Danio rerio: one gene and its partner. The protein of the gene in region 1 interacts with the protein of each later gene in a biochemical or structural test. Links are inferred from orthologs where the notes say so. Each region holds a gene or a part of one and is shown on either strand. Other genes may lie near its edges.

Evidence for each region.
Region 2: the proteins of ube2g1a (region 1) and amfrb form a complex in vitro, tested with the Homo sapiens proteins (7 studies listed by BioGRID, with this or other methods). The link is inferred for Danio rerio from reciprocal best matches to the Homo sapiens genes UBE2G1 and AMFR.

Annotation. Positions count from the first base shown.
Region 1 is NC_133180.1:31,603,041-31,607,512, reverse strand, and holds the start of ube2g1a (ubiquitin-conjugating enzyme E2 G1a), read right to left. Parts: upstream 2,851-4,472; 5' UTR 2,733-2,850; coding exon 2,687-2,732; exon of another isoform or gene 2,161-2,686; intron 2,089-2,160; exon of another isoform or gene 1-2,088. UniProt on the Homo sapiens protein: Accepts ubiquitin from the E1 complex and catalyzes its covalent attachment to other proteins. In vitro catalyzes 'Lys-48'-, as well as 'Lys-63'-linked polyubiquitination. May be involved in degradation of muscle-specific proteins.
Region 2 is NC_133182.1:35,375,292-35,379,022, reverse strand, and holds the end of amfrb (E3 ubiquitin-protein ligase AMFR-like), read right to left. Parts: intron 3,658-3,731; coding exon 3,524-3,657; intron 2,989-3,523; coding exon 2,878-2,988; exon of another isoform or gene 2,810-2,877; intron 2,695-2,809; coding exon 2,516-2,694; intron 2,215-2,515; coding exon 2,123-2,214; intron 1,495-2,122; coding exon 1,447-1,494; 3' UTR 838-1,446; downstream 1-837. Other genes in the region: dpep2 (dipeptidase 3), read right to left, coding at 530-837. UniProt on the Homo sapiens protein: E3 ubiquitin-protein ligase that mediates the polyubiquitination of lysine and cysteine residues on target proteins, such as CD3D, CYP3A4, CFTR, INSIG1, SOAT2/ACAT2 and APOB for proteasomal degradation.

The DNA of each region.
Region 1 (4,472 bases):
TTTTCTGCCACTGAAAAAGTATCGGCTGAAAATATGCTATGCCATTTAATAGACCCTCTAATTTTTGTGGCTTCAGTCATTGCTGGAATACTCTTTTAAATCTGGAAGCATTAACAACTGGTATCGCAATATACATCGTTATCATTCAATATGCAAAATAATTATCAAGATTGCAGTTTTGCCATATCGACCAGCCCTAAGCAACAATCACACAAATAGCATAAAGGGCTGTTCAAACCAAGAATGGATGACAGCCACTACTAGAAAGGTTTACCAACCCTTCAAATTCAATTAGAAGAGAGATGTCCACACAGCAGATTTAACAATAACACCACAGATATACAATATCATTGGAATCACTTTCAGAGAATTTCCTGTCAATGTATGTTAAAAAGCTTGACAGGCAAAGAAAACCCACAAGTTACAAAAGCATGCGCATAAAGTGACATAACAGTAGTGCTTTTAATAACAGAACATTATCTGAAGGCAAAAAAATACATAATTTATTTACTATCCTGCAGTCCATTCAACCAGTGTATGACTGACTTTCTTCAGCCAAGGTTTTGGGGAAAAGGAAACAACTCTTCATCTAATGCTAGTGAACAGGGTTCAACTAAACCATTTGGTAGTTGTATTAAATTTTCAGGAAAAATGCAGTGAGCGTTATTTAAAAAAAAAAAAAGAAACAGAAAAGATATTAACTTACTTAATCAAATTTATTTTTAAATATTTAGAAATTAAACACAAATTTTTCTCTAGAAAAGCCAACCTCTCTCCCAGGACAAAAAGTAAACAAAAAGATGAAACAGTATGCAAAGATAGAACAGTAAATCAAATGACCTTAACTTTCTGTAAACAAGTTCAACTTAAGTTAGCGAGATAGTGTAGCGTACTATACAAACAATAATAATAAATAATAAAAAAAAAACACTCAGCAAACTAACATGTCTGAAACAACTCTGCAGTTGTACTATGCTGTTGCTTGCTACTAAATTGAGTGTCCCTGGCAATACTTTCAATTGACTTTTTAGCAAGACACTCATCACTCAATTGTGCTCACTAATTTGTCTAGTAAGACTGTCACAAAAACGCAGTCACGCGTTTGCTCTGGACGGGAAATAAATGAATTAAAAATATACAAATATATCTTCATATTACAGCCTCTTGTGATTAGCTAATCGCAACATTTCAAATGGTGACTGCAATTAGATTTCGATTAATCACACGGCTCTAGTAGACGCTGCAATGTTTTTACCCAAAACCTTAATTTTTTTTCAACTTAAAGTCTCAAAACATGTTTAATAGCTTGGGGTGGGTAAAAAATTAAAGGTAATTTTTGAGTGATTTCTAAAAAAAACCTCTCTACACATGGCATTAACATCACACAAGTTGTGCCCGCATTTTCCTGGCCCGTATCTTTTACGGGCCAACATTAATGAACGTTGTGAGGCTTTTGTTCTCACGAAGGGTTCACTGAGTTTAGATCAAGGCTGATGAGTTCACCATGCTGGTTCTTCTGAAAGGAGACAACCAAAACAGCCCCTGACCCCCTGAATCAGTCAATCAAGCGCAGGGCCTCTGCAGAACCTGACGCCATGACAGGCCCGGGGTGCCGCTCACCCTGCGACCCTTGGAAAGAAACAAGCGAGTTGCTTTTATGTGTGTGTAAGATGAGTAATTTGGGGGGATGGGGTTGCTTGAGCTGTCTGTGGCAAAGAGACAGCTGTCATGTAGCAGATCTGTTGTTTTGCTTTTTAATTGATCTCATCAGACCCCCAAACTCAGGTAATCTGCCTAGTTTGACCCCTATAACTAACTCACTTCACTGGCTGCACTGCGCAAATGGGGCCCAGTGGAGAAATCCTCCTCTGGTTGAGCTCAGTAAAGCTGACACTCGCGGATCATATTGCTCAGTGTGTGTGTGCTGGGCATAGAACAATAGGAAACACTCATAACGACTCTAATAAGAGCCAATTTCCCGCACAGGTCTATGGTGACAGAGACTATGGGTCTCCAGTTCTCGCTGTACCGGTGAGCTGGTGATCAAACAGCAGCCATCAATTTGTTAGCTTTAGCCTGCTAGCCAGCCTAGAAAAACAAAGGGATTTGATCAACCCGATGCGGGGTAATGGCACACAATATACGGCTTATAAATCTCACCTTTAAACCGTGCGATAATACTATTGGTTTGACGGACAACGATAAGACAGTGAGCAGAAATTGGACCAATGACAGACTTTTCCTCCATTTATAAGATGACTGGTTCTCTTGCGGAAACTGCGTCCGGACACAGATGTCAAAACACGGGGGTAGCCGATCGAGAGCGGCCCCGCCGGTGTGATACGGAAAAAAGTGACTGACACTTATGTTGACATGAATAAACCGAATAACACTAAACAAACGTGCGCGTATTGTTGTTTTAATTATGTTAGAAAAACTCTCATGTTGATATTTTAGCAAGAGTAGTACAAAACTAGCATTTTAAAATAACAAAAGACGACGGGGCTTGCCTTTAGCCGGCTATTTTAGCTGCTAACATGCTAACTAATGCTGTATGATAAACACAGCGCTTGTTAGCGGCTAAACTAGCGGCTAACGGCTAAAATGCTCCGTCTCGGGTGTACTGGCTGGCTAAAACGTTCACCGGTTTGTTAGCCTGCCTTCGCCAACAGCCTTCAAATATTACCTGCTAGCTGTCTCCTGAGTAACAGTGCTGACTGGGGCTCCGTCATGTTTTTATAAGTTATATTCTAGGTCGACAGACGTTCACCTCGACAAGGAGAAAAAATATGTTTGAATTTGCTTGCGCGTCTTCCCGTCTCTGTTCTAGTCCGTTTTGCTCAACATTCTGATGCGGTATGCGCATGCGCTCTGCTCTCCGCGAGGCCGCGGCGAGAGTGTGCTCCAGGGTACTTATGGGCGGAGGATTCGCGCATGTCAGAAACAAATATGCTTGTTTTTTAACAAACGGCGATGGCATTGACTGCGAGATTAATTATGTTATCACTTTAGTGACGTTGTAGGTGAGTCTAATCAATTGTCTCGTTATAGCGAAAATCTGTAATCATACATTTATTATTGCTTTTTCTTTTCGCAAGTGCCATTTTTATTAGAGAAAATTGATTGTTGAGGACAGTACAGTGTCATTCAACCACTAGGAGACAGTACAGCGTAATAATAAAAGTCAAAATGTGTGATAGAGGCGATCCTTATGAGAATCATCCACTTACACACAGCTCTCATAACCGTTCATGACACTTTAACGTCTTGGTTGTGTATTTCTTACTAGCGTGATAAAAACATTTTATTTGAAAACATTTTTTTTCGAAAGACGTCTCTTTTGCTCATCAGGACAAAAGTAAAATAAAAATAAAAACTTTGAAATGCAGTTTTTAGTTAAAACAACTTCTCAATTTGACTTTCAAACAAAAGTCAATTGACTAATTCAAAGTCAATGCAGAAATGTCTGCTGTTATTACTTGTTTCCAGTGTTGCATTATCTTTCAGGGATCAATCTGATAGGCTGATTTGCTGCTGAATATATTTTTTTTCTGATTGTTATCAATGTTCATTTATTTTTATGGAAACAGTCGTATATTAAGAGTACAAGAGTAAGAGCACAATTCAAATCATTTTCACAGATACATTAAATTAATTACATGTGACAGTAAATATATTTAGGTTTCAAAACATTATACTTCAGTTCAATTGTGTGTGTGTGTGTGTGTGTGTGTGTGTATGTGTGTGTGTTTTTTTTTTAAGTTAAAATATCCACTAAAATTAGCAGAAACATTTAGTTCTGAACTGATAAAATGAGAACCAGTAGTAATGATTGAAGACCAAAATAATTCAAGAAGACTGGAGTGACAATGTTTCGAATTACAGAAATAAATACAATTTCTTACATTTTACATCAATTACATTATCAATGAACAGCAAAGACTTTCAAAAACCCTGACAAATCATAATATCCCCAAATATCTGACCTGCAGTGTACATCTTGTCAGAGAAACTGCACAATAAAGACCTTAAACATGATTTTTTTTGTCTTATTTAGTCTTTACTGTGGTTGAATACCGCTGTACTTTCAATGACAACAACTTTCAACTAAATATAAATGGCTTGCAAATGATATTATGTTCTGAATAGTGACTCTAATTTAATTTCAGTTTATTATGTGTCTAACTTCTTGTTTATTTAATCAAAATCCATAAACTTTGTTATTATGGCAACCCACATCAAATAATAATTTATAGTGCATGCAACAACACACATGCAAAACATTTAATCATTATTTGAAATACACGAAAGACATGATGACAGGTCAGTGGTTTTAGGTAAAAATTTTACATATTGTGTATATGTAGATTCATTCATTCATTCATTCATTCATTCATTCATTCATTCATTCATTCATTCATTCATTCGTTCGTTCGTTCATTTATTCATTCATTCATTCATTCATTTTCCTT
Region 2 (3,731 bases), on another chromosome or scaffold:
GTAACAAAAGTTAGAGAGAGAAAAAATAATAATAAATAAATAAATGAATGAAAAAGTAAATAAATAAACTTTCTGTTTATTATTATTGCTGTAATTGTTATTTTTACCGTAAAAGATTTTCATCAAACTCACAGACCACATATAAAATCACTTATTTATATGCAGACTAATATCTGTTGTATCTTTTCCATGTTTTAAAGTGAAATTTATGGAACATGTAGAGCTTAAAAACGTTAGAGTAGACCCAGTACTCTAATTTAAATGTCATACTCTCTAAAACATATTTTACTCCACTATTTAAGTCACGTGCTTCGAGTGAGCGTGTATCCAGTATATATTTTGTTCAAACACCAGACACAATATAAATTCGTATTTATAGTACATACTGTCTTTACAAAATGTAACCCACCATAAGCTGGATGAGTAACGATATAAAGTCGTCCCAACCTCTCACACTCCGCTATGTCAAACATAACAAAAACGTCTGAAACGTCTTGTAAAATATATTATAAGTACAGCTGTAACTTACCGTGTCTGGAAGAAGACTGGTGTAATGTACTCATGGACGTGAAGAGGTTCACATTCTGTTTTTCTGTGCGGAAATTTAAGATGCCAATGTGTTTTACAAGCATTATGTCTTAGTTTAAATGCTCTCGGAGAAACGTCGCCCCCTTCTGTTGACTGCGATTGACTGGACTGCACCTTTTTAAGGCACAGACTTTTTTCATATTCTGACTTAGTGATGTCAACAAGATTGAGTATGTACTTAGTGAAGACAAAAATAAAAGAAGGGCCTGATAAAAAGGAAGTCTTTGGAGGTTTGTATGGGATCCACATATTCTCAAAAATATTTAAAAAGAGCTTTTTATTTATGATTATTCTTATTTGTCACAATTACATTTTAGTCCATGAAAAAAAAAAAAAACATGTTCAAATATTGCTAAACATTTCACATTTTTGTTTAAACACTTAAAATGGAAAGTATTTTAACAAACTGTTTAGACTGAGATCTTTATATAAAACTACATTAAACAGTGAGTTCTTTACTTACAGTAGTATTTTGAACCTTGAACTTGATTTTGACAGTGTTATCAAGAAATAAATGGATAGGTAGAATATTCCAATCAGTGTTCAAAATATGCCGGTCTTGTTACGTCTAGTGTACATTTCTACATTTGTGTCATACGCTACTCAATTTGTGTGATTTTCCAAGCATGATGTTAATCCAAAATTACATCCTACTTGGCCAAAGCACATCCACCCTGTACAGTCACACACTTCCTTTCAATGTATGTCATCCAGCCACTTGAGCTGAAAGATTTACTCTTTTTAAACCTGCTCAGCTGAAAACTTCAGGTAAATCTTGTGTTGAGCTCTTCAGGAGAATCCTCCCGAAATGTGGTCAGTGGCACATTTTTCTCATTTTTCCCAAAGCTATAGAATTTACTACTCAGTTAGGTCTAACCCAGGTACAATTTCTTCATCCTGATGTCCCTGAAAATCAGTAAACAGATGATGATTAGACAAAAACAGTATATACACAATATCGGTCAAACATTTGGGCTCATTTGGATTTTTAAATGTTTAAAAAAAAAAACCTTCTCCTGCTCACCAAGGCTGCATTTATGTCATCAAAGTTACAGTACAAATTGTAAAATTGTGAAATGTTAATGCACTATAAAATAACTGTTCAAAAGTAGTTTATCATTTAATTTAATAATTTATTCCAATGATTTTAAAGATGACTTTTAGCGTCATTACTCCAGTGTTCAGAGTTATCTCTGATAATAATTAACATTTCTAATATTAATTGTTATTGTTATTATTATTAACAATAAGATTATTATTAAATACTAATAACAATAAAAGCAATAATGGCTAGAGTAATAATTTCATTTGAAACTACATAAAATAAGTAATAAATAAATATTTATTAAATAAATATTTAACAATTTAACATTTTTTTTACATTTAATAAATGCCACCTTAATGATCATAATAATAAAAAAAACATGAAAAAACTGACTCCAAACTTTTGACCTCTAGTGTACATCATAAATACAATACACAATAATTTCAATATTAATAAATTCATTATGACATTGTACATAGCAACATTTACCCGAGAGTCGTCTGCCTGTAGTAGAATAATTAAATTAGGAGAGTGCAAAACTTCAACTGAAAAGCCAGGCAGCCAGTTTGAAATTTGAGAACCTGAAAAATTTAACAAGTTTAAAAAGTTTAACTACTGTACAAAAGGTAAGACATTTTCCAATAGATACCCAAACACTATTTTGAAGATTGCTAAAAGAGTGACTGTAGAAAAAAAGTGTACAATTCCCCTTTAAAGCAATGATCTCTTAAAAAAACATAGAAAACGAGCCTGTAAAGTACATAAATATACAGCATTAAGTCAAAGGAATACATAGTTTGAATGGTGTGTAAAGTGGAATTTCATTATAGAGCATATTTTATAAATGCATTGACTAGTTTTAAAAGTATTTATTAATTTTACCATTAAAATGAAAAAGTTGACTGTGGTATCTGGTTGGAGGTCTGCTAGGCACATCAGTTGCTCCCAAACTGAACAATGCCCCCTCCTGCTCATTTCCAGTATGACCGCCACTCATATTTACAGACATCCTACATGTAGGACATGACATATTCTGCTCAAGCCAGGAACGCAGACATGACCTGGGAAACAACAAAACATGTTCACTATAGTCGTATAGTCTTAATTAGCAAAAGAACAATGACTGTTCCACAGAAACAATGAATACACGACCCATTCAAATGAACTCGCATTTACCTAATGTCATTCCCTAGGGTGGTAAAGTCATTTATTGGAACAAAGTAAACACATGATCTGTTTCATACTTGTGAAATAGATGGCCACAGGGTAATTTGTATGCTGTGTACATCTTTTCCCAGCAAATAACACATCTGTCATCACGAGATGCCAGCTCTTCCATTGTAGCCATTGAAAACCTGCCAAAAGAAAAGACTTTATGATTTATAAGCTTGTCTTTTCCCATTTTAATACTGCAAATTACCAAAACACAGTGCATAGCAGTTATCTTATTTACACATACAAATAAATTAACATACAGCACAATAATAAAGGGGCGAAACTTACACTGACATTTCAGGAAATTCATGTTTACCATTAAATATTAATCAACTCCTTTCAAAGACTTTGAAGAAACATTAATTAACAATGTGAAAAAGACAATGTTTTCTAATATTTGTTATATTCATATATTAATGAATTAATTTACATTTACAACAGTACAAGTTTGTGTTGGTACTTTGCAGTGATATACACTTTAGTACTACCTATATAAAAAACACGGCAGCAAAATTGCATGTGATTGACATTAAATTTGACATTTCTCTCTTCTGAATGCCCTCCATGTCCACCCCCCCCCCCCAACACACACACACACACACTCTCAGACTGTCTTAGTATTTATTTTGATATTGCAAAAAGAGATATATAAAAAAGCTTAGCAGTAAAACATACCTTGTGTCCATAACATCATATATGTGCATGTAGTTCTTGTGTTGAAATAATTTGCGCTGCATTTCTTTTGCCAAGAATCGTATGTGTGTCAGTATAAATAAATCAGCCACTGAGAACCAAACGTTCCCATATAGCTGAAAAAGAAAAACACAGGCAAAAATCAAGGATAATTAGTGCTATTCATTATATTATTTACTAGCAAAAAAAT